Linked DNA regions of Tamandua tetradactyla. The protein of the gene in region 3 interacts with the protein of the main gene of each other region in a pairwise test. Links are inferred from orthologs where the notes say so. Each region holds a gene or a part of one and is shown on either strand. Other genes may lie near its edges.

Region 1 (7,803 bases), on a different chromosome or scaffold from region 3:
CTAAAACCCAGTTCACACTCTGCAGATGGAGAGAGTAAAGGACTATATAAGGACACTTCATGAGATTATCTCCTTTTAGAACGAGGAAAGGTGAAACCCAAGCCAATTAAAAAAGAAAAAGGAAATCAAGCCCTTAAATAGTTGTAATAATTTACAGGCTTGACTTGCTTTACTATTCTTTGCCTCTACAGATCATACATAAAGACTTCCATTCTCCCTCTGGAAAAATAACTACTATGCCCAGCATTTTTATGTACATACATTTTATGTACATCTGTAATCAGAATGCAGCTCTTCTCATTCCACGGGCCTTGATCTTACTTGGGGCTTTCAAAACACTCACAGAACCTCCACCACACTGAATGCCCCGGTGCTGACACTGCCAACCAACTGTGAAAGAGGAGAATTTGCACTTAGCTGGTGCAAAACTGCCTGAAATTAAAATGAATTGCTCTTGTGACTCATAGGGAGGCGGTAAGGGGCACCGAGTGCATCCTAAAAGATATCTCCAAGCTCACAAAGTCTGGCTGCCCTTCTGTCTAAATGTTGGGTTTGCCTGAGCCTGGGCAAGTCTCCATCTGGAATATGGAGATGCTAATGGTAATGACTCCAGTTGGCTTTGGGTAAGTATGCAGTGAAGCATCTATCAGGATAGTGGTCCGCAGTAGAAATATTAAGCAAAGGAGCTATCACGATGGCCTGAAATGAAATAGTAAACACAGGATAAGATACTGGCTCCATCTGTTAGAGTTTATGATAACATCATGCTGTCCATGGAGGACGTTCCAAGCAAAAGACTGAGTAGGATTCACCTTCAAATTAATGTTTTATGTTTTCCTAGAGCCTATCCTGAATATTACACCTGAAAAATCACTTCTGCCTGGATTTCTGGGCATAATTTATCAACCTTTTCTGGGAAAGAGGGGGAAAAATGTGCTGGCACCATTTCCTCAACTAGCTTGTCCGTCTTCAGTTAGTACCTGTCTTCACTGGAAAATAGTGAAGAATGGAATAGTTAGTGCCCTTCAGTTAGGTGCTTGATGTATTTTATGAGGCTAGGATGCTTCAATTTTCTAACCTCAGTGAAAAAGGAAAATTTTGAAAAGACTAAACTTCCTTAGGGAAAGTGAAACCTCCAGATTTGTCTTCTAATAAAAGGATTAGTGACTAAGTTTTGGCTGGTCGAAAGGGCATTAGCTACCAATTCATCCAGTTCACTCTCTTTATTACTATGGTCTTGCCCAGTCTCTGGACTAAATTGTAATTCTAAGTTTGTTAAAAAAAAAAAAAAAAAGTGAACAAACCACCCTTTAAACTCATTGTTTGCACAGATACATACATTTAAGTAAAGGAATGTTATTTTTCTCTTGAGAATTAGTCCAAGGAAGCTGGGGGTTTGTTAACACAAACCCGGCTCCTTACAGAACTGGTGTCTTAACCTTTAAGATTGAATAGTGATGTTTATATTCTCGCTGGATTGTGGCACTTCCTGAGTTTTATGAGAACATGCTGAGCTTTCATGTCAGTAACTGAGGGTAAAACCCAGGTAAATAAACACCACCAAGGGCTGAAATTGGTGGGGTGGCGGGAGACTTCTAACAAGAAAGCACAATTCTTTAAAACAAGAAAAGAAAAAACCAAAACAAACGCCTCTTAAGAGCACAAATGGACAAGTCATTAACCAGCTGCTTTGGTCTGTGTAACAAATCCCTTCAAAGGATTAGATGGGGACTTCAAAGGAATAAAAATTCTCAAAACCAGACAGTTAATGAATCTTAAAAGGGCATTTACGTTGACGGGAAAATGAGATCTTAAACAACCCTTTCTCCCCATGTTATCACCAAAGAATGGGTTGGGGGTGTAAATTGGAAATAGGGGAACATTCCAAGTCAGTAGGAGGCTCAGAAAACAGACGCGGCAGATGCTCTTGGGAGTCCTGGTTCCCCGACTCTAAAGCCTTTGGAGACCATGAAAAACCCACGAGACTCCCCGCCCTAGAAAAATTCACCTATACACAAAATGGTGCGCTGCCCTTCGAGATAGAGAAACCCCATCAGCGGACCCCAAGAAACATGAACTCTGATTAACTCCGGATTTATCGGCTCTAGAAGTGTCTGGAGGCCAGAGTAGGCTCGGAAGTGGACGCTGGGACCCCGTAGGCGGCGAGGCACCCGCGCGGCCCGGGGTCGCTCCACCTGCGGGCTGGGAAGGGGGCCGTGGGGGGTGCGGGAGGCCTCCACTCGGAACGTCCCCCTTTCCAAGACCAACTGGACAAAGAGAAAGCGGGCCGGGGCGGGGGGAGGCGAAAGGAGCAGAATCCAGCCCTGCACTCTCGCCTGACCTGCACCTACGCGCCTCCGAGCTCCCCCGGTGCCCGCTCCGGTGCAAACTTTCTGGCCCGCGGAGGGCTCGCGGAACGTCCCAGGCAGCCGAGAGGGGCCCGCGGGGTGCAGGGCCAGAACCCCTTTCCCGCACTATCCCCCGCCAGCCCGAGAGCAAGGCGGAGGGCGCCAAGGGCACGCCGCGGGCGCGCACCTGAAGCCCCTCGCGGGGTGGTGGTGCTGGTGGGGGGTAGCCGTGCCACCCCACTAACCACGGGGCGCGAGGCCGTGGAGAGCGTGGGTGAAAGCGACAGGGGTGCCACACTCACTCAGACGGGTCCAGGCTCTTCCTCTCGATGGCCGAGGACATTGGGGAGGGAGGCGGCGTGCCGGACGGGGGAGGCGCTCCCTTTGTGGTGCGGGGCTGGCCGGCTGCCAGGGCTCGGACCCCCTCGGGTGCTCGGGCGCCGCCGCTGCCGCCGCTCTTGCGCCTCCGCTTGCTCGGGAGCTCCGGCGGCGAGCTCGGCCCTCCGCGCTCAAGGACAGTCACCGCGCTCCCTTCAAACGCCAAAGAGAGAGAGCGAATCACCGGGCTGCGGGCGCGCCGCGGCCGAGACCGGGGCCGGGACGCGCAGCCTGGCCCGGGGCATCTGCAGCAGCTGCTGCCGCTCAGGACTTAACCTTCCATCCCGGTCCCGCCGCCACCGCCACCGCCCGGTCCCGTTCGCGCGCCGTCGCCGGATCCGCGCCGCCGGGCCGCCCCGCGCCCCTCGCACCTTCCGCCCGGGTCGCAGCGCGCAGCTCGCCGCGGAGGGCAGGGAGGGGGCGGCGGGCGGGGAGGGGCCCGTGCGTCGCGCCCCTGGGCTCCCTCCTCGCCGGGAAAGGTCTATTTTCGCTCAGCTTCCCTCTGTCTCTGGTTTCATTTCCTTTTTCCTGATCACGATTCAAATACAATAGAAGGAAATCACATTTAAAGAGACAGCTGCCCGGCCATCCTCCCCCCCCTTCCCCCTCCCCCCCTTTTTAAACGGGGCTCCTGGGGATTAGCAATACAAACAGCGGCCGCGCAGGACGGACTTCGCTTCTTAAAGGGGCCAGCGTCAGGGACCGGGTGAGTCGCTCGGTCAACACCCCCTCTTTGGAGAGGAGGCTGGGCTGCCTCTAAATCCTTTAAGACTCCCCCTCCTCCGCGTTGCCCTTTCAGTTCAACTAAGGCTGAAAGTAACCAGCGGGCAGGTCGAGGAAGAAAGAAAAGACAAGGAGGTGAAAGAAGCACCTACAGAAACGCAAGCGTTCGGAGTGGCTTCCTCGCCCTTCCGGGCTTCGAGGTCCCCCGACGCTCCGCGCGAGGATGCCCGGGACAGCGCGGCTCGGCTGGCTGCTAGCTGGTGGCTGCGTCCGCACTCCACGAAGGCAGCTCGGGCCGAGCGGGCTGGGCACTGCCGGAGCTGTGCCAGGGGCAGCTAATCCCAGAGGAAAATCGGAGGGGAGGGATCACTCGGGTCGGGGTCTCGTCTCCATCTGCCGGCTGACGGAATTCCCTCCCTCAGCATCCTTGAGAAAGTGCACGGAGGCGGACCCCTGCGGTTCGACTGCGCACCCCACCCCCTGCCCCCATGAAATACCAGTAAATACCCTGCACAGCCCACTGCTTTCCCCATGATCAAGAGCAATAGGGAGGTCGTTTTGTCCTGGGCCAGGGAAAGGGAAAGAAGCCAGACCTGATGTCAAACCTCGAGAGCAACATCTTGGAAGAGTGAGGAATGCAGAGGAAGGAGAGAGGAAGAAGCTAATTGAGTCTGCCCTCCGGTAGAGACCAACTTCAGTTCCCTGAGCCTCAAACTTGGAAATGTCTGCCTTCAGAAATGATGATTAAAGGCCTGTTTCTGCCTGATGCCAGTTATAAGTCTTGCAAAAATGAAACCACCGAGAATTTTCAGAATCCATAGTTTTCTAGGCTCCCTCTGAATCATGGTCATAAGCATTTTATTCCCACCTTAAAAGTTGGCATTAAAGCGTCCTGAATAGGTTTCCCCCAATGGTGGAGGCTGAAATCAGAAGTGACTCCTTGGTCACTTCATTTTCCCTGGTCAGAGCCAAATCTTCACTGACTTCACAAGTATAACCAGAATTTACTGTTGTCTAGCATCGATCACTCTTGTCATTTTTCTCATCTTCAGGTCCCAAGGCTTGAGTCTCTGATGAGTATAATTAAAATCTCTGTGTATGTGTGCTAAAGGAAGTCCAAGGCCAAGACCTTCGGTACATAGGAGGACATTTTCCTGATCAGACCTTTGTTTTTAATTTAAGAAAGAAAACCCCTAAAATGTTTAGGCAGGCCTAAAGTATGTGATAAATACATAACCTATGACTCTACAACCAGAAATCAAAATGAACATGCAGGTTGCAATAAGTGGTTTACCTGGTTTAATCAGTCCATGTGGTTAAATATGAGGACTTTGGAATTGGGCTGCCTGGATTTGATTTAGGCTCTCACTTGTCAGTGTGGTCTACGAAAGTTACTTAATTTGAGAAGGCAGTATTTTGTAGTGGCCAAGAGTACAAAATCTGGAGCCAGAGTGCCAGTGTTTTACCCCTCCTCTTCTCAGCTGTGTTAACCTGGGCTAACACAGGATTTTAACCTCCCAGTAGCCTCATCTGTAAAATGGGAATAATAGAACCTATTGCTTGGGATGTTATGAAGATTAAATGAGGTAACACATGCAAGCATGGTATTTAGACTTGACAACAGGGTGAGAGTTATAATAGGACCTCCTCATAGAAGTTTGCAAAGATTAAATGAGCTATGAGCTTATATGCATGGAAAGCACCTAGCACGTAGTAAGAGCTCATAAATGGCAACTGCTATGTTATAATGAAATGCTTCATTGAGAGAATTATAAAAGAGCTTGAAATTTAATTGGAAAATGGGGCTTTAAAATAAGACTCTCCCAGCTAAATTCAAAAGTATTCTCTACATTGAAAAGGTAAACAGACCTAGGGTGCTTACACCTCACCCCTACTGCTCGTAAACAAAACACGTAAGCTTTTTCCATTTTCATGTTCATTATCCTGGTGACTAGATGATATGTTTGCATCTGCTTGCTTTGATTAAATCTGATAAGTTGCTACCTCCTTTCAAACCAGTTGTTAAAATAAATCTATCCTTGGATTCCAGGAGGTAATCTCAGAATGGCTAACTTTTTGGCATAAAATTTCCTTTTAGTAATATGCTTCTGCATTGACCTGAGTGTATAAAAAAAGAGAGATTATTGCATATGATTCTGGGTCACTTTCTTATCTTTCACAACTCTTTGGGGAGAACTTCCTTACAGAAGGTGAATGTTTGAAATGGTATCTTAAGATTTCAATTTCACACACAGTGGTTGTAAGAAATAACTGCCTACCGGTGGGATTTCATTTCTATTCAACGGACAATTAAGTCGCTCACGTTTAAGTTTAACATTTAGAATCAAGTCTCAAAAATGTGTTTTTATTCTGAATAATTTTTAAGCAAGGATGACCTTAATGCTACACATCTTCCTGTAGCAACCGACACAGGCTTTGTACAGCAGAGAAACTCAGTAACTGGGAAGCACTGTGGACATGTGAAATGGTTCTTGAGTGCTGGGGAAATCTGAACTTGATCCCTCCCCGGTTGGATTGAAATTTAATTCCTTCTCCTACTCCCCAACTGCTTGCAAATCTTAAATACCCTAAAATTGAGAAATTTCTACGTTTTCTTACAGAATATGAATGTCAGAAGACTGAAGCTGTCTGCATGATGAATTTGCCTCCCGCCAGCATTTTCTGTTCTTTTGATTATAACAGTTACAATTATTTTCTAGAGAAGAGCATTTTCAAGTGATGAAGGCTACATCCCTTGTAGCCTTCCCTTTATAATCCCTTTGCTAAAATGAACTTCTAATAGAAATGAAAATGTAAATATCATTGGGAAACTGCCAAGAATGACAATTTACCTCTTTTTCTCCCCCAACAATTAGAAGCCAAGTTGTAACATATGCCAGTTTGTTGTGACATTCACATTTAGGAACAAAAATAAAGATCTATCTCAATATGACTTTAGCTCCCTTTCAAAATTCTTCTAAATTATTCAGTTGTCACAGGTATCTAGCTCTCAATCATTTCAGAAGGGTTCAGGGACAGTTGATAGGACGTGATTTCACAGAATTTTAGACCTATTAGTAACCTTAGTGATAAATTAGCCAAGTTTCCTGTACATTACAGAAGAGCCCTAAATAAATCTTAAAAAAAAAATTCTTACCAGCTGAATCTTAGGAGAATGAGCATAGGAGTCAGACAGGTATAGCTCGGTTATTTACTAGCTGTGTGATTTTGAGAAGTTATTTCACCTCTCTGAACTTCAGTTTCTCTGTCAAATGGAGGTAGTAATAATGTCCAGCAGGTCCGGTACTAGGGTGAGGTCACAGGGGTACCTGCTCACCTCTCCAGAATTTTGAGATGATTCAATACAATAAAGTGTGTTAAAATGCTTTGCACAGTAAATGCTCAGAAATGATTGCTCATGTTATTACCCTGTCTTTCAGAAGTAATCAGCCCGGTATCGAAAAGCAGCAATTTCCTAGCCAATTGAGATATCCTCCAAAGAATGCTGAGATGGAGGTGCTACAGAAAAATCAGAAGCCTTCTTAAAGCATCAGCAGCTCTCTGGCTGGGGAGCCCACCTCTCCCAGCCAGAAATAAAGGGCTGTGCCCATTTAGGCCCTGGGCAGGCTTCTGGCTAATCTGCTGCTACTTTAACCTGCTCCCCTTGCCACACCGCCTGCTTTTGCCACATCCCTGATTTTATCCGTCTTATTTTCTACCTCTAACAACATTGTTTACAGAGCCACCTTTTACAACTAAGAAATGAGGCAAAATTAAGTGCTGAAGTGACTGTCTCAACATTTCACAATTTCGTAGGGAGATATTAACAGAGTCCCATGTAATTTTCCAGCTTGCTCCTTGGAGTCCCTACGGTTCTAAGACACTTCCCTAGCTGGTTTTGCCCACCCCTGCTCCACCTACTGCACCTCCACCCTTGTTGACCTTGACCGTGGGCATGCTGCTCAACCTCTCTGCCTTCAGCTTCCACATCTATAAAATGGGCGTATTCAGAATACCTTTCTCATAGAGCTGTTTAAAGGATTCTGTGATATATAAACATCTAATGCACTTGGAAAGGTGACTGGTGCAAAGTAAACTCCTGTAGAAGATTTTGCTTATTAAAGATATGCCAGCTTTAAAATGTTTGAAAAACCATTGATACATCATATCCTTTGATGAACAAAGTAAACGAGAGACATAAAGCCAACAGCCTCTTCTACTTCTGCCACATCAAACTCACTCCTGCCCTTCTGTTTTAGATCTTGGACCCTGAGCTTATTTGCTGCTCCAAATTCAAGAGGGAGTCAGAGCTGGGTGAGCTGGGCTCACGGAACAAACTTTGTGCTCTTTGCTT
Region 2 (7,135 bases), on a different chromosome or scaffold from region 3:
GCTTAAACGGTCTCATGTAGATAGTGGTGGCCATACTAGACAGCTTTAGACGAGGGTTCTGCAAACCCTGATGGGCCAAACCCCATTTGCTTTGGCAAATAAGGTTTTAGTGGAACACAGCCACGACCATTTGTTTACGAATTGTTATTGGCTGCCTTCCCACTGCAACAGAGACCTTATGTCCTGCAGAGCCAAAACTATTTGTCCATCTACCCTTTTAAGAAAAAAGTCAATCCCTGCTCTAGACTGTGAAGGAGACAGAACAGTGCTAGGAATAGCCTCCGCTCTCAGGTCAGAATTCACTCACGCAAAAGGCTCCTTTTGCGTGTGTGACCTTTATGACCTTCAGGACCCACCTGCCCACACAGGTGACCCAGGGCTCTGCTGGATGATACTAAAACAGCTCCACAACTGAGAGCCGACTGTGTGCCCAACACTACCTCACCTCGGAGGCAGGTGCATGGTGATGCCCACTTACAGAGGAGAAAACTGAGCTTGGAGGACAGGCAGTGACAAAGGTCCCCCAAGGTCCTGGGGTCCCCAGATCTGTTAGCCTCCAGGGCTGGGTCCTCTATGCCTACCCTGGCTCACCTGAAATGCCAGATAGTGAGAAGAAGAGGCAGCCATGGGTGCCAGGCTCAGGTCCTGCAGTGACATGTCATGCCATACCTCACAGCTGGGGCTGAGTGTCTGGTCTGATTCCCACAAGGCCCGTTCCCACCAGCCCTCCCTAGAGTGAAGACTCTCCACTGATATCCTGTGCCTGGCTGTGCTCACCATTGATCAGCTCCAGGGCCTCCTCCTTTGTCCGGGTGATCTTTTCCTGCCGCCAGGACGAGGGTCGCCGTGACTGGCTGTGCTTGACCAGCAGGTGTGAGCAGCGGACCCTGGCAGGCTCCCCCTGCCCATTTTTGCCACTGCTGTTGCCACTGGGCCGCTCCCACTGGCTGGCATTGGTGATGTGATTGAAGTAGTAGACCCGGCCTGGAGGGGAGGGAGGTGGAAGTTCAGCTGACTGGAAGTCAGGATAAGAGACTGGCCAGTGTTCAGTTGGCACATCCATGGTGTGTCTGCCATGTGGCATAGGCCCCGGGGACACTGGGGCTAATCTAACAGCACCCAGTCCCTGCCTTCAGGAAGTTAACATACTAGGTGGGGACAAACGGGCACTAAAGACGCAAAGTAGACAACTTCAGTCATCGATAACTTCAAAAAGAAAAATAACCCAGGAGGGACAGAAGAGAGCAAAACAGGAGAGTGTTTCAAGTGTACACTCAACAGCCATGCCACCACGGTTCAAATCCACCTCTGCTATTCGTTCACTGTATGAAAGTATGTATGCTCTCCCTTTCCTGGGCCTGAGTTTCCCACCTGTAAAATGGAGCTAACAGTTGCTGTTGTAGAGTTGTTGGAAGGAATGAGTGCTCATCTATAAAGTGCTTAGGACAGAGCCTGGCATGCATTAAGAATGTAAGAATTACCTCCCTTTTATAGATGGCAAAACTGAGGCCCTGCTTCCCCGTCTGTGGTAAGAGCAAGAGCGGGTAACGTTTCCTCAGTTGTTTACTCTGCTCCAAGGTCAGGGAGTGGGATGGGGGCATGGGGCGAGACAGGAACTGTACACAAAAGCTCTGCTCTCCATTGTGGCACAGTATAATCTCCTGCAGAAGAAGCAGGGACCAGCATTACCGGGGGCCATGGTCCACCCAGGGACTGAGGAGCACGTACAAGTGAAGTCTGCAAACAAGCCTGAAGGACCCAGTAGAGAAAACTGTTATCCCAGGGGCTGAGGGTTTGCCTGAGTCACATAGAAGACTCAGGCCCAGTGCTGCATAGGGCAGGGGGTCACCCTTGAGGGTGACTGTCAGGAGTGGGGGAACCCAGAGCTTGGCAAGAGCATCAGGCTGATGCCACAGGACCCAGACACAGGCAAAGGTGGGGGGGCAGGTCAAGGGCTCGGGTTCTGGGGGCAAATCCAGGTGAGTCACTGACTACAAAACCTTCTGCAATGAGATCTATCCCCCTGAACCTCACTGTTCTCATCTGAAGAGTGGGGGTGAGAGAATAAGGACATCAAACCTCATGGGTGAATGTGTGGAGAGAGAGTCAATGAAGATGCATGCAAAGTGCTGTTCCTCTGAGCTCTGGAGATAGCTGCTGGGCTCCTATGAAGTTTGCAGTGACATGATTTTGGGGAGGGCCCCGGGAGTCAGGTTTAATTTTTTTATCAAAAAACTAAGATTCTTCGATATATATAATCCAGTTTACTGGATTTAATCCAGTCACTACCCCCTAAACTGAATGACCACGGGCAAGAGTTCCTTAAGCTTTCTGGCCTCAGTGTCCTGCCCTGCAAAATGGGGGCAATAACCGTCAAGTTCCCAGAGTTGGGGAGATTCTGCCTGGTGCAGAGATGAACGTGGCCTGATATTGGTGTCGTTATGGGGGGGGGGGGGGTCCCCACGCAGGGCCCGTGCTCAGACAGGGTTTCTGCGGTGGATATCACAGACCGTGCATTAAGTGTGGTTGGCAAGGGTGTTTCGAGGAAGCCACGCCCCGGGCATGGATTATGGGGTTACCCTCTCCAGGGATGCCCTCCGAGCCCGAAGGGATACAGGGACGTCAGGCGCATGAGGGCCGGCAGAGACAGGGCCAAGGTCCGGGGGTGAGCTGCGGGCTCCCTGGCCCCTCCCCACCGCACCCCGGTCTCAGTTTCCCCCGGCTTCCTGGCTCTCGAGGCTCAGAGGCCCCACAGGGCCGTTACTCGGGGACAACGCGGAGGAACCAAGACCCCACGGGAAAGAGGCGGAAGCGCCGCGGGGCCCCAGGTGTAGCTCGAGCCCAGCTTTCGCGGGCCCGCGCGGTCCCGCCCCGGCCCCGGCCGCCCCCGACTCCCGCGGCACCTGAGCTGCGGCTCATGCGCTTCTCCCAGCCAGGCGGCAGCTTCTCCTCATCCGCCATCTTCCCTTCTTCCGCAGCGCCCGTTCCGCCTCCGCCGCGCCGCCGCCCGCACCCGCCCACTGCCGCCGCCGATTGGCTCGACGCGCCCCGCCCCGGGCCTGGAGACAACGCTTATTGGCCACCCCCGCCGTCGGCCCTCGCTGCCAGGCTTTTTATTGGGCAGAAGAGAGAGAAGGCGGCCCCACCCCTGCCTTCCCTAAGGCCCCGCCCCCGACCGGCCTCACCCCCGCCCCGCCCCGTCCCTCTGATTGGTGGGTCATGATGCGGGCCCGCCTTTCTCCACGCTCTTTGGCGAGCTTCAGAGTCCAGATCGCGGCGTCGCTGCCTCGCCGCCCAGCCGGGCAACCCGGAGCCTGGTGCTTGGCCACCGAGGCGGCCCTTCCCACCCTCCCAAGCCGTCCCCAGAGGTCCGCAGGCCCCCCTGGTTGCTATCCTCGGGGAAGTGTTTGCCGGGTGTGGGGGTAACGGCAGCCGACAAGGTTCTTGGGAAAGGCGGTGTTGCCTTTGCTGTTGCCATAGCAACGCAGTCGCCTTGGTGACGAGTAGCTGGGAGCCCAAAACCTAAATTAGGCTCCTCCATTCTCCCTTTTCCCACCTGTTTCCAACCAGAAGTCCAAAGCCAACCCGCCCTCCTTTATTTTTGGCCAGGCTAAACCCCTGTCTGTGCTACTGATTCCTGACACCGTCCCCTTCCTCTGGGACCTGCTCCCATCACTTATTCCCTCTCAACCTCGCTCCTTCCTCCGTCCTGGGGGGTGGGGGGTGGGGGGCGGCGCGGGTGGGAACCGGGGAGGACGATGAGCTTGGTTTGAGCCAATTTTAAGTTGGGTTTGCGGTGCCCGTGGGGCACTGGGAAGGTGGATGAGGACTCAGGACTGGAGCACTGCAGGGTGGAGATGATATGGGAGTCAAAGACACCCACCGGGAGAGTTCAATTATAGTTCATCTAAAGCGTGGGTTTCTGTTGAAAAGAATGAGGCAGAGGGAAAGCAGGTCCAGGACAAATTCGAGGCAGGATGGGGGCGGTACCTTGCTATGACCTTGAGCAAATCACTTAACCTCTGTGCTTGGGCTTCCCATCTGCAAAATGGAGACCAAAAAATATACGTATATATACTCACCAGTTCGATGTGAAGAGTAAATGGATTAATTCAGATAAAGCACTGAAAACAGTGCCTGGCCCATAGCAATGGTATGAAAATGTCAGTATTGTATGCTGGGTGAAAAAAAGCAAGTCATGGCTCAGCAGAGCAATTATAATGTGCACGAAAGCAAAACAAAACAAAAACATTAATAAAGAATACTGTGGTAGGTTGAATTGCACCCCAGTTTGGACATGTTCTTGTCTCAGTCCACTTTCTAATGGGTTTGGACCCATTGTAAATAGGATCTTGAAGATGACACTTCAGTTAAGGTGTAGCCCAACTGAATCAGTGTATTGGTTTGCTAAAGTTGCCAGCATGCAATACACCAGAAATGGAATGCCTTTTAAAAAGGGAATTTATTGTTACAAAGCTTACAGTTCTAAAGCCAGAAAAATGTCCAAACTAAAGGCATCCAGAGAAAGATACCTTGACTCAAGAAAGCCTGTCACATGGGAAGGCACATGGCTGGCGTCTGCTGGTCCTTGTTCCTGATTCCGTTGCATCCAGCTTCTGATTCGAGTGGTTTCCTCTCTAAGTGTCTTCACTTAATTCCTCCAGGACACAACTCTGGGTTCTGATTAGCTTGGCACCTCATGGGAAGGTACATAGCCACTATATGCTGTCAGCCCTCCAAGAATCTCCAGGTGTCTGCATCTCTGTCAGCTCTCAGCTTCCTCCAAAATGTCTCCTCTTTTAAAGGACTCCATAAACGAATCAACACCCACCTTGAATGGGCGGAACCACATCTTCTAACCAAAAGGCCACACCCATAATTGGGCAGGCCACATCTTCATGGGAGTACTCTAATCAAAAAGGTCATACCCACAATTGAGTGGGTCAATCTCCATGGAAACAATCTAATCAAAGGTTCCCACCCTGCAATACTGAATCATGATTAAAGGACGTGGTTTTTCTGGAGTAGGCTACACTTTCAAAACAACTCAATCTGGTTGAGTTTTAATCCACATTACTGGAGTCCTGTATAAACAGAATGAAATTCAGATATAGAAGGAAAAAGCTATTGGAAGTGAGAAGCTGGAAGTCAAGGGAACCCAGAGGAGATAGAAGAGGTGCCATGCACATTGCCATGGGGTGGAAAAGCCAAGACAGCCAGTCAGCCAGAAGATACTGACCCTGGGAGCAAACAAGCTTTCTAGGCTTTGAGAGTTTGAGCCAATAAACTCCTGTTAAGCCAACCCATTGTACGGTATTTGTTTTAACAGCTGGGAAACTAAAATGGGTACCAATTAAAAGACTGAGATAGATTGCATATGGAAAGACGTCAAAAATATAAAGTGAAAAAGCAATCTGCAAACAGTATAAACATACATACTTATCTCAACTGTGTAAAAACTATAGATTTGAATCAGAAAATTTTGGAATTTGTTCAAACGTGTTAATGATTTGGTGATGAGAGTGAATAAAGATATTAAACTCAATTTTTAATATACTATTTGGATTTTTTTTTGGTATGCTGTATGGTGGGGTCACATTTCATTATTTTTTCCATGTATCCCATTATTGCAGCACGATTTGTTGAATTTTTGTTTATTTTTGGGAAGTGCATGGACCAGGAATTGAACCCGGCTCTTCTGCATGGCAGGTGAGACTTCTACCACTGAACTACCCTTGCACCCCCTGGGTCTTTTTTCACAAGCATGAATTAGCATCAATTTTTAAGAAAGAACTTTTATTTTTGAGATAATTCTAGACTTAGAGCAGAGGTACAAATGCAGTACAGTGTTCCCCTAACCCTTCACCCAGCTTTCTCTTATGATACCATCTTACACAGAAATAGGGCAGTGCCTCCAACTGGGTATGACTTTGCTCTCCAGGGGACTTTTGGTAATGTCTTAAGACATTTTTGGTTCTCACAAATGGTGGTGGAGGCAGGGGAAGAACACTACTGGTATCAAGTGGGTAGAGGCCAAGGGTGCTGCAAAACATCCTACAATGCACAGCCTCCACAACAAAGAAGTATCCAGCCAAAACGTCAACAGCGGCAAGGTTGGGATATCTTGGCCTAAAACAGTCATCAAAACTAAGAAATCAACATTGGTGCAATGCTATTAACTAAACCACAGGCTCTTCCCTTGTCTCTCATGACCTTGACACTTTTAAAGGATAGAATTCCCTCATTCTGATGTGTTGTCATGATGCGTTAGTCCATTTCTCATGATTAGCCAAGGTTATGCATATTGCGGATACCACAGAATCCATGTGACCTTCTCAGTGCATATTATCAGGTGATAGATGATGCTGAAATTTATTACTGATTATAGTACAGTATCTAATGCTGCAAACAAATGATCCCACTTCTTAGTGGATTATCATTTATTATCTGTTTTCTCTGGGTTAGGAATCTGGGCACAGCTTAGCTGTGTTGGCATGGACAGTTGCGGGCTCATCAAAAGGTTTGACTGTGGCAGGACCTGCTTCCAAGCTGGTCCATATGGTTGTTGGCAGGATTCAGCTCTTCAGAGGATGCTGGACTGAGTGTTAAGGTTCCTTGCTGGCTGTTGGCTGGGGGCCTTTCCATAAAGCAGCTTACCATATGGCAGCCAGCTTTTATCAATGACCAAGCAAAAAAGCAAGAGTGAGCAAGCAAGATGGAGACTGCAGTTTCTTTGCAACCTACTGTCAGAAGTAACATCCCATCTTTTTTGTCATACTCTATTCATTAGAAACCAGATGCAGACCACATCGAAGACAGGATTACACAAGGGTTAGAATATCAGGATGTGGGCCATCTCAGAGACTGCTTACCACACTGATGATATTAACTTTGATCACTTGATTAAAGTGGTATCTATACTTACTATTTTCCTCTTTTGTAATGAACAAGCATTTTGAGAGTCATACTTTGAGACTATGCAAACCTCCTACTTCTGCTTAAATTTTGTCACTCACTTCAGCATCTACCAGTGGATCTTGCCTGCAGCAATTACCCCTGTGGTGCTCCAGTGGGATCTCTTAATTTTACCTTTCCATCTATATTATTTGGAAACTTTCTGAAAGGGAGAGTTGTC
Region 3 (7,466 bases):
CTCTCTCAGTCCCTCCCTTGCCTCTTCCATCCTTGGTTTGTCTTTTTTCTGCAGCGTCTCCCCCTCCAAACTGCCCCTGACTGTAGCAAGCTCTGTCAGTCTAAAATACCATTCTCCCCTGTGACGCCTCGGCTCAAGAACTTGCCTTGCCTCCCTCCTGTTGCAGTTCACCACAGCTCTGTCAGAATGAGAGCTGGAAAAGGGCAGGAATGCCCCCACAACCTAACTTCCTGTCGTTCCTCAAGACCTCCATCCTCAGCTCCAGGTCACCTCACATTTCAAGTCCATTACCACCTCTAAGCCTTTGCTTTGGCAGGTTGCCTTGCCTATAATTCCTAAAGCCCATCTACTTTTGAGGTCCTAGCAACTGGCATCCTGTCACCTCACCTCAAAGCACTGTCACTTCATGTCCCTCCTGCACACTGCACTTTACAGTTTACAAAACGTATACACATCCATGGCATCACTGAACACATTAATGGAGATTAATGAATGTGCCCATCCCAGATGCCACATCTGTCTTCCACCCAGAGAACCCTGTGGGCCAGGAAGGAGAAGAGGCCTTCGTCCACACACAGGGCCTCCTGGGCTGGCCATCTCTAGCAGACCCAGTGGCAGGGGCTCAACAGCTCAAGAGCTGTGGATTCATGGGCCAAAGGACCATCATGATGAGAGCTGCTGACAGGAGACGAAGGCAATCACAGTTAGAGCAGTCAGGGAAGGCTTCTGGCAAGAGGAAGGGTTGGGAGACTCAGCATGAGTGGAGCCAGAAGGACAAGCCAGAAAGTAGAACAGGGTGAGCCAGGGTAGCACCTAAGAAAGGCAGGGAGGGTGGCTTCTGAGGTCCGGAGCATGTTCAGTTAAGCCTTGGCAGCAGTGGGGAGTCAGGGAAAGTGGGTGACCTGGGGAGGTGGGAGCCAGAGGAATGTTTATGGGGTTGACTATGGGGTGTGGAGGTGGGCCTGCTGTGGGTAGGGTCTCCTGGCTCTCCCCCTGCACTGGTTGGCTGACTCTCTCCACTCAGCATCTGAGGGTGACACAGCTGACCCATCTTCACCCTTGCTAGGCCTCACCTGGCAGAAGGCCAGGTCTCCTCTCCCCTCCTGCTGATTAATAGGCACCAGCTGATGTGAGGGGGCCAAGGAGAGGGGCAGTGGACTGCCTCAGGTTCCAGGTGGAGCCGAGGGAGCCCCTGGGAGGCTGATCCTTTCATCGGGAAAGCTCAGCTTGTCAGACCCTGCATTCCAGGGCAGCCTCTGGTGGAGGGGGGAAAGGTCCGTGGAAATCATGGAGGACCATGTCTTGTTACATGGAGGAAGGAACGTGGCCCAGAGAGGAGCCGAAGGGAAGGCTGGAGAGCTTGAGCTTCTGATTGGCCCTGTGGCCTTTTGTGGATTAGCTACTTCATTCAGTTTTCAGGATGATGGTATGGAAGCCCCAGCCTACTCAAGATGGCCCCTTGACAGCCTCCCTTGGAGGGTTGGTGGACATCTCCACATTAACAAGCCAAAGCCCAACTCCATAACTCCTTTACTGTCTCTTCAAGCTTCTCTTCCCACAGTCTGTCCCAACTCAAGGGCAACTCCATTCTTCAAGTTGTTTAAGCCCCGACCCTCAGTGTCCTTCACCTATCCGTCTCTCCCCCTCTCTGCCCGCACACCCGGCCAGCAGCATATCTTGTCGGCTCTACCTTCAAACTGAATCTAGAGTCTGACCGCTTGTCACCATCGCCACTTCAACCGCCCCGTACAAGACACTCGCCTCTGGATTGTGTTCCCTGTCTCCTTTCTTGCCGTGCCTCCACCCACCACCCCACTCCAACCCCTCAGCAGCCAGGGTGGTCCTCCTGTGCTCAGAGTCCTGCAGTGGCCCCCCTTTCACTTGGAGCCTTTGTTCGGCCCTCTGGAACTGACCTCCTCTTGGTCCTCCCGGGCTCACTGTGCTCCAGGCCCCCTGACCTCCTGGCCATTTCTCAGAACACAGCAAACTCTCTCCCGCCTCTGAGCTTTTGCCCTTCTGTTCCCTCTGCCCCAGTAAGCTTTTCCCCCAAATGTCCATCTTGGAAGCTTGCTCCTTCACTTCCTGAAGGTTTCTGCTCTCTATCAGGACCTCCTGGTGGAGGCAGTGGCCCTCGCCTAATGGCAAGCAGCAGGGGTTGGGGGGGCTTCCCTTCCTCTGACTGAGCAGGGTGCCCCTCCCCCTCCCTCCAGACCCCAACAGGACTGTCACCATTTGCAGAGGTGTTAATGAGAGCTGCCCCTCCCCCTCTCCTCTATTTTCCTACCAGGCAAGGGTGGGGGTGGGAGAGGCCAGTGCTTATAGGGAGCTCCAGTTGGTGGAGGGGAGATGGAGGGGCTGTGGGACAGCCCGGGCACTGCTCCCTCCCTTCCCTCGAGGGTCAGACTGCTTCCTTTCCAAGGTCCGTACTCACTATGCCCCCCCCCCCCCCCCCCCCCCCCCCCCCCCCCCCCGCCACAGCCAACTCCACCCCCCCAGCAGGTGTGGGCCCCTGACTAGCTTGGGAGGGGACAGGGAGGTGGATTTTAGCCTTGCTGTGCCTCCACCCCCCTGTCCTCTTCTCTCTGAGCCTCATTTTTCCGCCTGGCCAAGGGGAATATCTGGAATGGTTTCTGATTCAGTCTTCTGGGTCCCTGGCTGATCAGAGGTTCCTGCAGTAAAGCCCGGAGAGGTGACTGATGCGCCACCCACCCCCAGATTCCCAGGAGCCGCCTGGGACGGCAGTCCCAACTCCTTGTTGTAGAGAGCACAGGGCCTGTCATTCGCCCCCTAAACTCACTGAAGTGAGGGCCCAAGAACATGTATTTTGACCTTTGGGAAAGGTTATATCTCAAAATGCCAAGCTCAGACCAGGAATTGGGTCCTTTCCTCTTACCGCCTCTGTGCCTCCCCCTGGGACAGTCTTCTGGGAAATAAAGCTTGCAGAGGGTTTGGAGAGAATATTCATGCTTCACTTCTGGGCATGAGGCCAGCTGCCAGGCTGGCGCCTCCCGGTGAGGCCAGCAGGCAGGTGCCCACTGGGCAGGCTGGGCCCGAGGCCAGGGAGGTTGGGGCCAAGTGTGAGGCCCAGACTAGGGGCAGGGCTGTGGGCCGGAACTTTTCTGCCCGTCCCTCTTTCCTTCCCACATCTGAAAGGGAATCTGCAGGTTTCCCTCAGAGAGAGACATGCTTGCATCAGGACCAATGGTTCCTCCCCCACCCCCCACCCCCTGCAGGGCTGCACTGGGGGAATGTGTCAGAGGGTGGGGGGTGCACATTCTGGGGAGTGAACTGTGGGTGATGGTGAAGAACCCCCATGTCTCAGGTACCACAGATCCATCGGTGGGGGTATAATGAGCTCTGGGAGAGAACTCACCTCTGCTGCTGCATGCCTCCTCTGGGCAAGAGCAGAGCTGGATGCTACATCTGCTTTTCAGACTTATTCTCAGTTAACCCACCAGCGCCACTAGGGTGGAGAAAGTAGTAGTCCACCTCTCTAGGCCGGTTTACCTGCCTAGAGCCACACAGCCAGTGGATGGCAGAGCCAGAAATGAGTCCTGAAGACTGCTGGGGTCCAAAGCACAGCACTCTCCACCACTCCACCAGGACCTGGCCCGTGGGCTGGCTGAGAAGGTGCTATTTCCAACACCTTAACCCTCGAGGCTGGCTGCCTTGCCCTCAGTAAACCAGATTAGCCAGCAGATGTCTGGGGGTAACTGGGACTGTCTATTATTGAAGGCATTTTTGGATTGGGAGCACTGGGGGAGCTGGGGGAGGACAGGACCAGCAACGGAGGAGTTAATGGCCCATTAGACTCAACTCCCATGGTCAGGGCCTAAAATTGGCTCTGGTGGGGATGGAAGAAGACAAACTCCTCCATCCCCCAGATCCTTTTTCCCTCACGACCCTTCTCCTCCCAGCAATCTGGAAGACCAAGAGAGGCAAAGAAGCTCAGTTCCACCCTCCAGAAGAGCCCTGTGTCTGAAAGCCACCCCGCTGGAGAAGCTCCACTGCAGGCCAGAGAAAGGGCCAAGTTTGATGAAAAGAGCCCTCAAAATGGGGTCTTTTTCTGTTTTGTTGATAATGGCCATTCTGGTGGGTGTGAGATGAAAAAAAAAAAAAGGGGTCTAAAGCAGATGGCAGAATAATGAGCCTGGGGTCTCCTGGGAGATTTTGGAGAGTGATGATGAGCCATCTCAGTGGGCTCTCTGGGCCCATGTGCCCTCAGCAACAAGAGGGTACAAGCCCCTCTCCAGGTTGTGTGTGGGTGCAATAACTCAGGCCAAACTGCACTTTTCTCTGGGTCACGGGAACCTCGGCCTGGGGCAGAAACAACCAGGTAGGGGTAGTTAGTTGACATCACCTGTGAGCACACCCTATTTCAGATCCCATGCAGCCCAGGAGGACAGGATACCTAAACTGCAAGAGCCACAGAGACCACCTCACCCCACTCCACCTTTCATAGCTGCAAAACCAGCGGTTCAGAGAAGGGAGGTCTTGTCATGATATAGGAGGAAACAAAAACAAGGGACTTTGAAGGAGAGGTGAGTTCACGCAGGGGTGTGTCCCATGCCCCCAGGCCTCACCTTTTTCTTTTTCCGTCCCATCCTCTTGGGGCCAGGAGTGTTTGGCCTTGTTTAACAATCTTGGGTACTGGTACCTGGGACTGATGGGTGACCAGGCATTAGTCGTGTCCAGACAGCTGGCCCAGGCACCACGGGGGCCTATGGGGGTGACGGACAGTACAGAGCATCAGTGGTGCGCCAGTGGTGCCATACACTGGCTTTGGGGGTGGGGGGTAAGGACAGGTGGGGTAGGGTGGGGCCTAGGTCTTTCTCAGCAGCAAGAGGGCTAATAGGTACAGATGCCGAGGGGGGTCTGGGCCATAGCTGGCTGGGCGGGGATTGGAAGCCAGGCAATTGACTCCTGGTGCTCCCAAGGTGAAGGCAGGAGTGGCTCTCTCTCTGCCCGGAACCCAGAAAAGTAGTGAGCTTTTCCACTGCACGGGGTCACCTGGGCAACACTGTGTGATGTCACAGGCAGGACGAAGCCACACCCATCCCTGTCCAGTGGAGGGGGCTGGGATCAGAGGCCCATTTCCTGACTCTCAGAGCTGCATCCTTGCTACTGTCTGGCACCTGGTCCTCAGACTTCCTGCTCTTGGAATGGCCAGGCAACCAAGATTCCCCAACCACCCTATGTGCCAAGCCCCGCGCATGTCACACTACAGGAAAGGAGGGGACTGAGGCACTGCCATCAGTTTGGCAGGAAAACAGCTATATCTATAAAAGAATCTGCAGCCATCCTGACCTCTTGGGTGCTTCGTTTAAAACAATAATAAACACAAAAGTTAAGAGAACAGTTTCCTCTTGAGGTGGGAGGATGGGGGAGAGAATGGGAAGAGAACCCATAAACATACGTTATCTATGATGTTCTGTTACTTAGATTGGTGGGTCACCTATTGGGTGTTGATTACGTTATTGAAAATAAATTATTAAAGAATTAAAGAAGGCCGAATATGGGTCAACAATGGCACTGGATTGCAAATCAAAGGTTATGGTTATAGGGTGCATGGATGGGTCACTGGTAGAATGATTGACTGCCATGACCCAGGCTTGATTCCTGGCCCATGCACCCCTGCCCACCACCCCGAAAAAAGAAAAGATTATGGTTGATCCAATTCTGAGCTCCATAAAAAATTGTTACAAGGATAACTTCTTTTTCTGTGTGAGGCGCAGCGCTAAGTGCTTTTAAGTGCAGCAAGATGTCAGAATAGGGAGTGAGTAGCCCCTGACCTGGCGTGGTGGCTGCTCATGGGAAGGTGGGGTTTGGACTTGGCCTTGATGGATGATCAGGAATCCTGGGCTAGAGTTTGGAAGTATTTGGGAGACCCCTGTTGTCTACTTGCCTCATTCTGCCAGCTGTTTTAGATCCCATATTGAGGGCACTTTCCATTTTCCTTGGTTTGTGACCCACGGACAGGCCCACCACGGTGGCAGGAGGCAGGAGACGAGCTTTGATGAGGCTTCCCAGCTTCTCCCTTCACCTCTACTCCAGAGAAGGAGGCAGAGAAGATGTGGTTCTTCCCAATTTAGAGACAGAAAAAAATTGAGGCCCCATGTTTGATTAGAACTGAAAAGACTGGCTGTGGTCACACAGACAGGTGGGGATGGGAGCCAGGAGTCTCGCTTCCAGTTTTCTGCCCCTCCTGGCCTGCCAAGGGTGGTGCCCCTCGGGCTCTGGGGCCACGAACCTCCCTCGGCAATGGATGGGCTGGTCCCGCTCTCTCCTGGACCAGCACTGTCACAACATGGAGCTTGTGCCGAGCAGGATGCAGCTGCCGGTTCCAGCTCCCTGCAGTGCCTCTGCCCTCCCTCCCTGGCCTGCTTCATCCAGGAGGCAGCAAGTTCAATGGGTGGGCAGCCAGCACTGACCCTGTCCCTGTTCAGGAGTCCACAGCAGGATGGGAGAGGCTAGCAAGGTGCCTAAGGAGTAAGCTTTAAGGAAGCACTCACTTGCAGGGCTGTATGAATGCTCCCAGGCAGGGCACGCCCCTTTGAAGTTCATGCTCTGCCCACCTGGCTCCCCCCACTGTAGTCCCAGCCCTGCCCCGCATCTCCTCCCCTCCAGCCCTCATCCAGCCACCCTTCCTAGGGCTGCCCCTGGGCACAAGCCTTTCACTCAGCTTCCTTGAGCTTTCTGCAGGTACAGCCCCCAGCCCTGTGGCCTTCCTGCCTGGGAAGAAGATAATGAATGCAGTTGGGTGCTGGTTCTATGCCAGCTGGCTCCAGAGCACCAGAGGGCCCTTGCACGTTCAACAGTCACCAGAAGGGGGCCCCTTCCACCATCTCCTGGGGCAAAGGACCCCAGGGACACCAGCTCCTGGGCCCACCCCAACCTTCCACCCAGAACTACTTCCTTTCCTCCCACCATCAGTGAGAGGTCCTTCAACCTGGGGGCTGGGGGTGGGCTTTCTACTTAGCGACAAGACTGATAGAAGCTACTTCACATTTCTATCTGCCCTTCCTCCCCCCACCCCCACCCCAGGGAAATGAGCCTCCTCTGCTCCCCAGATGTCCAGAGGAAACTTCTGCCCCTGCCCAGTGGGCAGCCCCAAGCTTTAATGACTCAGAGTGAGTCCAGTGTGAGGAGGGGAAGCAGGTAATGATTAATCTCACAGCTAATAGGTTACCCTACTCCCCCGAGGCTGAGACCACATGCCGCAGTGCAGAAAGAAGAGAAAGTGCTGGAAGCAGCGTTATTGGAGGGTCCGGGGGTTAAACACAGCCATTAGGAAGCCCACAGCTCTGGGAGGGGCAAGCCGCTGGCTGGAGCCCTGTTTGGGGGGAAGGCGAGGTCCCCCGAGCCAGGCTTCCTTGGCTGGCCTGGCACTGGGCTTGCCAGGCAGCAAGAAGGGTCAGGGCAGGTGGCTCATGGCTGTCCACGCAGCCTCTTGCCCAGCTTCTGGG
Region 4 (7,707 bases), on a different chromosome or scaffold from region 3:
TTAAAAGGCTTCCAGTGATTATATTAAGCATGACTCATTGCAGAAGACACTCCACTTGGCTGATTACAAATGGAATCAGCTGTGGATGCAGCTGACATGATCATGATTTAATTCTATGAAATGTCTTTGTCACTACAGACTGGCCAGCACTTGACCAACCAGACAAACAGGTACCACCAACTTGGCCAAGTTCACATATGAACCTGACTGTGACAGACCTTAAAGCCAAAGCATAAGCAACAAAAGAAAAAAATAGGCAAATGGAAATTCATCAAAATTAAAAAGTTTTGTGCATCAAAGGACTTCCTCATGAAAGTAAAAAGAAAACCTACAGAATGGGAGAAAACAGTTGGAAACTGCATATCCAATAAGGGTTTAATTCCCAGAATTTATAAAGAACTTCTATAACTCAACAATAAAAAGAATAACAACCCAATTTTAAAATTGACAAAAGATATGAAAAGACATTTCTCCAAAAAAAAAAAGGAAAAAATGGTCAATAAGTCCATGAAAAAGTTCTCAACCATTAGCAATTATGGAAATGTAAATCAAAAGCACAATAAGATGCTATTTCACACCCACTAGAATGGTTAATGTTTAAAAAAACTGGAAAATAACAAGTGTTGGAGAGGATGTTGAGAAGTATGAACACTCATTCATTGTAGTTAGGAATGTAAAATCATGCCGCTGCTTTGGAAGACAGTTTGGCAGTTCCTTAGGAAGTTAAATATAGAATTACCATATCACCAGGAAATTCCATTTTTAGGTATATAACAAAAAGAGTTGAAAACAGGGATGTTGCACATGGATGTTCATAGCAGTATTATTTACTATAGCCAAAAAGTGAAAGCAATCAAAATGTGGTGGTTTGAATTAGTATGTACCCAAGAAAAACAAGTTCTTAAATCTAATCTATTCTAGTGGGTGTAAACTCACTGTAAGAAGGATCTTTTGATGAAGGTGCTTCAGTTAAAGTGTGCCCCATTTACTTTAGGATGGTACTTAATTGTATTACTGGAGTTCTTTATTAACGGAATGAGTACAGACAGAGGAAAAGCCAGGGAAGCAAGAAGCTGAAATCAATGAAACCTGGAAAAGAAGAGGGAGACCAGCAGATGCCACCATGTGTCTTGTCATGTGGCAGAGGAGTCAAGGATCACTGGCAGCCAGTCTTCAGGAAGAAAGCACTGCCCTGATTTGGACATTTTCCTAGCTTCAGCCATCTGCGAATAAATTCCCACTGTTTAAGCCAAGCCATTTAATTGCTTTAAACAGCCTAGGAAACTAAAACACAAGAGAGTCCATCAACAGATGAACGCGTAGACAAAGTATGGTATATACATACAATGGAGTATATAAAAAGCCATAAAAAGGAATGTTGTTCTAATACATGTGACAACATGGATGAAACTTAAAAACATCATGTTGTGTGAAATAAGCCAGAAATAAGAGAACAAATATTTTAAGAGCTCATTGATATGAAATAATTAGGATAAACAAATTCACAGTATCAAAACTAGAATACAGGTTCCCGGGGCCAGGATGGAGGGAGAGAATAGGGAGTTATTGCTTAATTGGTACGGTGTTTCTATTTAGCATTATGGAAAGGTTTTGGTAATGGATGATGGTGATGATAGCACAACTCTGAGAATGTAATTAACACCAGTGAATGATATAATTGAATTGCTTAAAAGGGGAAAATTTAGGTTGTATGTAATTATAGAATAAAAAAATGTTTAAAAGCCATAGAACTGTACAACACAAACAGTGACCCTGTAATGTAAACAATGGACTATAGTTAATAGTTTAATAATATTGTTTCATTAATTGTAACAAAGGTACCACACTAATGCAAAGTGTGAATAATAGGGATTCTGTGTGTGTGAGGGGGGCATATATGGCAACTACTGAATTACTTTCTGCATTATTTTTCCATTTATTGACAAATTCTCTAATAAAAAATTTTTGAGCAAAAAAGAAAAAAAAAAGATCATTGAGTGTATGGGAACTCTGTAATTTCTGTGCAATTTGTCTGTAAATTTGTCGGCTCTAAAAATAAAGTTCATTTTTAAAAGGCCACAGTATGACAGGAAAAGCCACAGCCCAAGCACTGGAGGCTATGCTAAGCAGCCATAAACAATAGCCAAAGTCACAACACAGAATTGGCCTGGTAAAGATACCACAACTGCTCTCAGCAAACAGACACAGCAGCTCGCAGAACCAATAACGCTAGAACTGGACAGCAGATGTTGCTACCAGTGGTGCGGCCATCATAGCCCCTGGAGATGTTATTTTGATGCAACTGCCACCACTGTCAGAGAGAATTTTTTGAGGTCCTTACTTGTTGGCATCACAGCTCCCTCTTCAAAACCCCTGGAGGGTGGATCTGATTATCAAAGCATAGACCATGGATCATTGTTCTAGCTGCAAGAGATTCTGGGAAAGCATGTCTCTTGCATTTCCAGATTCTACTTCACATCAATTATCCATGAAGTAGGGAATCCTCCAAACATATGAATCAGATTCAGAGGCCATGCATACAAAAAGAATGTGGATGTCCGATCTGAATCTCCAACCGACTGTCTCAAAGACATCTCAACCTCAACATGTTCAAGATGAATTTATAATCACTGTTGTCTTCCTACTCTACCACACACACACACACAACCTTGATCCTCTTCTAGTCTTTTCTCTCACAGTGAATGGGGCCACCATTGATCCAATAGCACAAGTCGAAGGGCTGGGAGTTGTTTTCAATGCTTCCTTCTCCTTTAGTTCCCATAGCTGACTTATTATTTCTAATATTTATACCTCTTCCACTTCTCTAGGTCCAGATCCATCTTTTCTTAGCTGGACCACTGCAATCTACTCTTCCCTTCCTCTAAATCTATTCTCCCCACTATAGCCACAGCCATTTTTCAAAAGGCTTTTCTCATCATGTCACACATTCCCCACTCAGCTTAACGAACATCAGGAACTTCCATAATTCTTAACATGGCTTACAAAACCCTGCATGGACTGGTACCTGCTTACCTCTTCCACCTCATCTCTCACCACTCTCACTCTGCACTCCAGCCTCATGTGCTTTTTATATCATGCTCCTTTCTACCAAGCACCTTTTTACATTTTATTCCTTCTATCTGGAATGCTCCCTACTAATCCCACCTTTGTCTATTAATTCCTACTTCAGATTTCTCATCTAAATCACTTCTTCAAGGAAGCCGCCCTAAACCTTACTGCTCCACAGAAGTCCCCATGTCTTCCATATACTCATATGGAAGACCTATGAATCTTTCCAGATGTCTTTCCTTCATGATTTATCAAAGTTTTGAATGATACGTGTATGTGGCCATCTGTTTTCCCCACTAGACTGCAAGTCCCATGAAGGCAGGGACCAGGTCTATCTTTTGCTCACCATTGCATTCACAGAACATTTACCCATCGTAGGTGCTAAATAAATAGGTTAATATTGGAATGAGTTATCTCCCTCAAGAATTAGCACTGAAGATACACATACACAACCCAGAACCAAAGACAGAAAGGAAAAAGAAATGAAAAGCATAAGAGAATATGTGTTGGTTAATGGTGGAGCACCAGCAAAGAGAAGCATGAACTCCTGCAGCTGGGAGGGTGAAGGTGAAGGAAAAAAATCTGATGCCCTGAGCTCCCTTGGACCTACTGGATCTTCCAGTTTCACTTTCAGGGAGACTAGCTTCACAGCTCTTTCTTCTCACTTCTCCCTTAACCAGTGGAATGATAAGCTCCCATTACTTCTCTTTATAATCAAGTTTGTCACTGATCTTATGTGCTCTTTTGAGAAACATATTGGTATAACTCTGTCCCATGTTTTAATTAACTGAGGCTAAAATGAAACCTTCTGTTATGACAATGTCCAGGTATTTCTGGGAGATTTCTCAATATGAGTGCTTGCAGAGCCTGATATCTGATGGTTTTCAAACGTTTTCACTTTTCTAAAACTAAATAGCAACACACCTCTGGAACAATACAGTAGGGACATTAAGAGATAGTTGAATATTTTTCATCCTTTCTGCAAAGGGTATGATCTTCAAAATACATAGCTAATTACTGATAAAACCAAAGTAATAAACTTTGTCCAACATGATTGATTATAACGTAGAAAAGAACCCATTCAAAAGCTAAATGTGTTTTGAAATTGGGTCTTTTTTTTTTCACTTTTACTATAATACAGTTCTTTTCAGTACTTGACCCCAATAAAAGGACTAGACAACTAATTTAGTTTCTAAAACTAATGCTTCTACAGTTACATGAAAATTAAGTGAATTACTATTTTAGCAAATGTATATCCTGATGCCTATACCCTAAACATTAGAGACATAAATTTGTCGGGTTTGATGGGCAATGAATGTATTTGAAAACAAAAGACATGCTATCTTTACTAATTGTATATTTTCTCTGAACTTAACTAAGAATTATGTTCTCTTATTTCAGCCTGTCTGGTTTTTCCTCTTTAAATGAAATACTTGTGACCTATAGAGGTTTAGAAAAGGTTATCTCCGAGTAAAATAACTGCTCTAATAAAGAAAATTCTGTGAAAAGCTTTTATTTTTGACGTTGCTAAACTTAAGTACAATAATGTCACATGTACTTATACAGTAATTGTGGGCACGCCTAAGTCCCTCCCTCTTTCCTAAACCAAATTCCCCAGATCCTAGAAATCCAGCCCTTCTGCCCTCCGGAGGCGCCTTTCCCAACGTAAACTACAATTTTAAATTTAAGCTCCTGACTATATAATGATTCCGCAGTCAACTGCTAGGGAATCTGGGCGCCCCAGTGCCTCTGGAGGGTGCAGCGGGGTGTAGGCAAGGACAGGGGGAGTGGGCGAAGCTGCTGGTTGGTGCCTGAAATCTGTGCGTTGCCCCTTTAATTGTGTCCCCAGCCCTCGGGCGTTTCTGTCCAACGCCCACGTCAGCAAATACCTTTTGTTTCTCTCACGTTGGGGCTACTTGTTTTAGGGCGCAAAGGAACGGCTTCGAAAGGGGGTATTACCCCTGCCGAGAACCAGGAATCCTCCATCGGCCCGCGAGCGCGACCCGCCGGTGCGCCACGGCCCCGCGGTAAGTGGCTGCGCGCGGCGCGGGCGGAGGGCGGGCGGGGCGTCGGGGCTGTCCCGGCCGGGCCCGCGAGCCTAGCTGCGGGCGGAGGCGCCGCCGGCCCGGCGGGCTCTGACCGCCCCGGCGGTGGGATGCGGGCCCAGGGCACGCCGCCCTCAGACGTTCCCTGCCAGAAAAGCGGCGGGAGGCTAGAGGCGCAGAGGCGAGCGGGCGCCATTTGCAGCCCCGGGCGAAGCGGGGGCCGCCACCGGCTCTGAGGGGCTGGTGACGGTCACAAAGGGGACGCGGAAAGATGGGGGCGGAGGACACAGCCTCAGGGCGGCGCCCGGGCGGTCCGCGGGGAGAGACGGGCGGCGCCGGGGCGCACCAGCTACCGTGACCACCCCGGCCCGCGCCCGGCCGGGTCTCTGTGCCCGGCAGGCAGCCCCGCCTGCGCGCCCGGGAGGGGCTGCGGGACAATGGCCGCGCCGTCGCCGTCCGCGCCCTGCCGCCCCCGCCGAGCGCGGCGCCCGCCTCGCCGCCCCGCCGGGCCGCGGCGCGGGGAAAGGCGGGAAGGCGCGCGGAGCCTCCTGGCGGCGGCGAGGAAGCGGTGCGGGGACCGTGCCGGGCGTGTCTGGAGCCGTCGGGCGCCGCCGACTCCCCGAGGGTTGGCGGCCAGCCGGGCACAGGCTATGCGGCTGAGTGGCGGGCAGCCCGCCCAATGGGGTGGCGCGGGGCGCGGGCGCGGGTGCGGGTGGGGCGGGGGTTCAGGGCTTCTCCCCGCGCGGCCTCGGGCACTGACTCCAGAGGGTGGCTCCCAGGCTGCAGCCCGAGTTTCTCCTAACATCCACCATCCTCTGGTTTTGTGACATGTTGCGACAGATCTGGGCTTAGAACCGAAGGCAGACTTACTGTACCTAACAAATGCTGAGCTTATAAGTATTTGTTTTATGACGGAATCATACATACACATCTTCTACTTAGGTCCTTTTTGTAAATTGGTCAGCGGTTTGGCCCCTTCTTCAGCAAATGCTCGCATTGATCCTGCCAATAGCCAGAGTCCACATCTTTCCAAGACGGTGTGGAAGCGGCGGAATCACAGCGGGCTTTTAACTACGCACGTCAGTACTTAGCAGGCTTAGAACCAAACACGTCAGTATCACCTCTTTCCTGGTTTTGCAGAATAAATCGAATTGTTTCACTTAATTTCAGTCTCCCAGTCATGCTGATGGTTATTCCATTTTCCAGATGCTTTACGCGCCCAGTTTCACTCCTAGGCCAGGAGGCGAATGAGGGCAACTTTCCAAAGGGCCCTGCCTTCTGTTCCCCACCTCTGCTTTCCCTCCGCCGGCACTGCCAGCCCAGCCTTCTAGAAGGGCGAGTTGGTCACATCTTAACATCTTCATCAGTATAGAATCCTCAGCAAAGGAATGGGCTTCTCTGGCCCCCTGAGTCAGAGCCCTTCACTGGTAAGCAGGGATCAGATCTCGTCTTTCCTGAGATTCCTCCTCAGGTGGGCACGTGTGAGGAGTCAGCTGCTGTAAAACGTCAGCAGGGGGCCACGTATGGGTGCACCATCCAAGGAGCTGGCCATTTAAACTTCCCACCTAACAAAGACGCCTGCAAGCACTCCTTAACCCGTAGCCCTTCCATCACCAGAGTTGCTGTGTGTAATAGCTTGGGCCCGGTAAAAATTTTGTGATACCTGATTCATCCTATATCATTTAAATCTTATTTTCTAGATAAAACAATTTCTATCTAATACACTTAACTCAGTGGCATCATGGTATGTTTATAATACTTGAAGGATTTGACAATTTTTTGATGCCTTTGAGGGAAATTTTTGTCACTTCTCTGTTCAAAACTGTGAGTGGCTCCCAGTTTCACGCAGATTAAAAGCCCTCTCAGTAGTCTACAAGGCCCTACAGTTGGTCTCACACGTTCCACCCCCACAATGCGCCCTCCCTTTCTGACTTCATCTTCCCCTGCTTTCACCATCCCTCGCTGAGGTTCCTCCAACCTGTCTTTGCATTGGCTGTTCCATCTGTCTGGAACTCACTTCCTGCAGATAGCCACAGGACGCTCCCCCCCCCCCCCCTTTTTCTCTCTCACACACACACACCTCTCTTCCTTAGGACTTTACTCAGAAATCCTCTTCTCAATGAAGCTTTCCCCACTACGATTTTGATTTTCTTAAATCAGTTTTATTCTTCATTCTAAATTCTAAATCTTTCCAGGGTTAAAAGATATTTACCCACCAAAGAATATAATTACTATTCCAGTTCATTGAAGTTCCTTATCACCCAGAGATTTTTACCTGGATTCTTTCTGGTAACCCCAATGAGATACACCAAGTTTTAAGTTAATGACTGTATATCTTAAAAGAAATAGTCTTATAGCCCACAGCCTTTTAAAATCAAGTTATTGTTACCTAAGTCTTTTGTCTAGTCATGGAAATACATGTCTTTTCCTTCTATTCCAAAGACTTTTGAACTTAAGGGTTCCTGAAGTATGCAATTGTGTTTTTCATCTACTCTTTTTCCTTTTGGGGGGAGGGGGGATACGTTGTCCAGGAATCGAACTCGGGTCTCGCATATGAAAGGTGAGCATTCTACCACTGAATCAACCATACACC

Evidence for each region.
Region 1: the proteins of CCDC33 (region 3) and LMO2 interact in a two-hybrid assay, tested with the Homo sapiens proteins (2 studies listed by BioGRID). The two-hybrid records come from large-scale screens. The link is inferred for Tamandua tetradactyla from reciprocal best matches to the Homo sapiens genes CCDC33 and LMO2.
Region 2: the proteins of CCDC33 (region 3) and PIN1 interact in a two-hybrid assay, tested with the Homo sapiens proteins (2 studies listed by BioGRID). The two-hybrid records come from large-scale screens. The link is inferred for Tamandua tetradactyla from reciprocal best matches to the Homo sapiens genes CCDC33 and PIN1.
Region 4: the proteins of CCDC33 (region 3) and ZBTB8A interact in a two-hybrid assay, tested with the Homo sapiens proteins (2 studies listed by BioGRID and IntAct). The two-hybrid records come from large-scale screens. The link is inferred for Tamandua tetradactyla from reciprocal best matches to the Homo sapiens genes CCDC33 and ZBTB8A.

Annotation. Positions count from the first base shown.
Region 1 is NC_135334.1:110,238,871-110,246,673, forward strand, and holds the start of LMO2 (rhombotin-2), read right to left. Parts: upstream 3,017-7,803; 5' UTR 3,010-3,016; coding exon 3,003-3,009; intron 2,880-3,002; coding exon 2,651-2,879; intron 1-2,650. UniProt on the Homo sapiens protein: Acts with TAL1/SCL to regulate red blood cell development. Also acts with LDB1 to maintain erythroid precursors in an immature state.
Region 2 is NC_135337.1:91,911,437-91,918,571, forward strand, and holds the start of PIN1 (peptidyl-prolyl cis-trans isomerase NIMA-interacting 1), read right to left. Parts: upstream 3,012-7,135; 5' UTR 2,962-3,011; coding exon 2,904-2,961; intron 985-2,903; coding exon 778-984; intron 1-777. UniProt on the Homo sapiens protein: Peptidyl-prolyl cis/trans isomerase (PPIase) that binds to and isomerizes specific phosphorylated Ser/Thr-Pro (pSer/Thr-Pro) motifs.
Region 3 is NC_135338.1:67,862,167-67,869,632, forward strand, and holds the start of CCDC33 (coiled-coil domain-containing protein 33), read right to left. Parts: upstream 3,009-7,466; 5' UTR 2,966-3,008; coding exon 2,894-2,965; intron 1-2,893.
Region 4 is NC_135328.1:193,360,893-193,368,599, reverse strand, and holds the start of ZBTB8A (zinc finger and BTB domain-containing protein 8A), read left to right. Parts: upstream 1-4,704; 5' UTR 4,705-5,096; intron 5,097-7,707. UniProt on the Homo sapiens protein: May be involved in transcriptional regulation.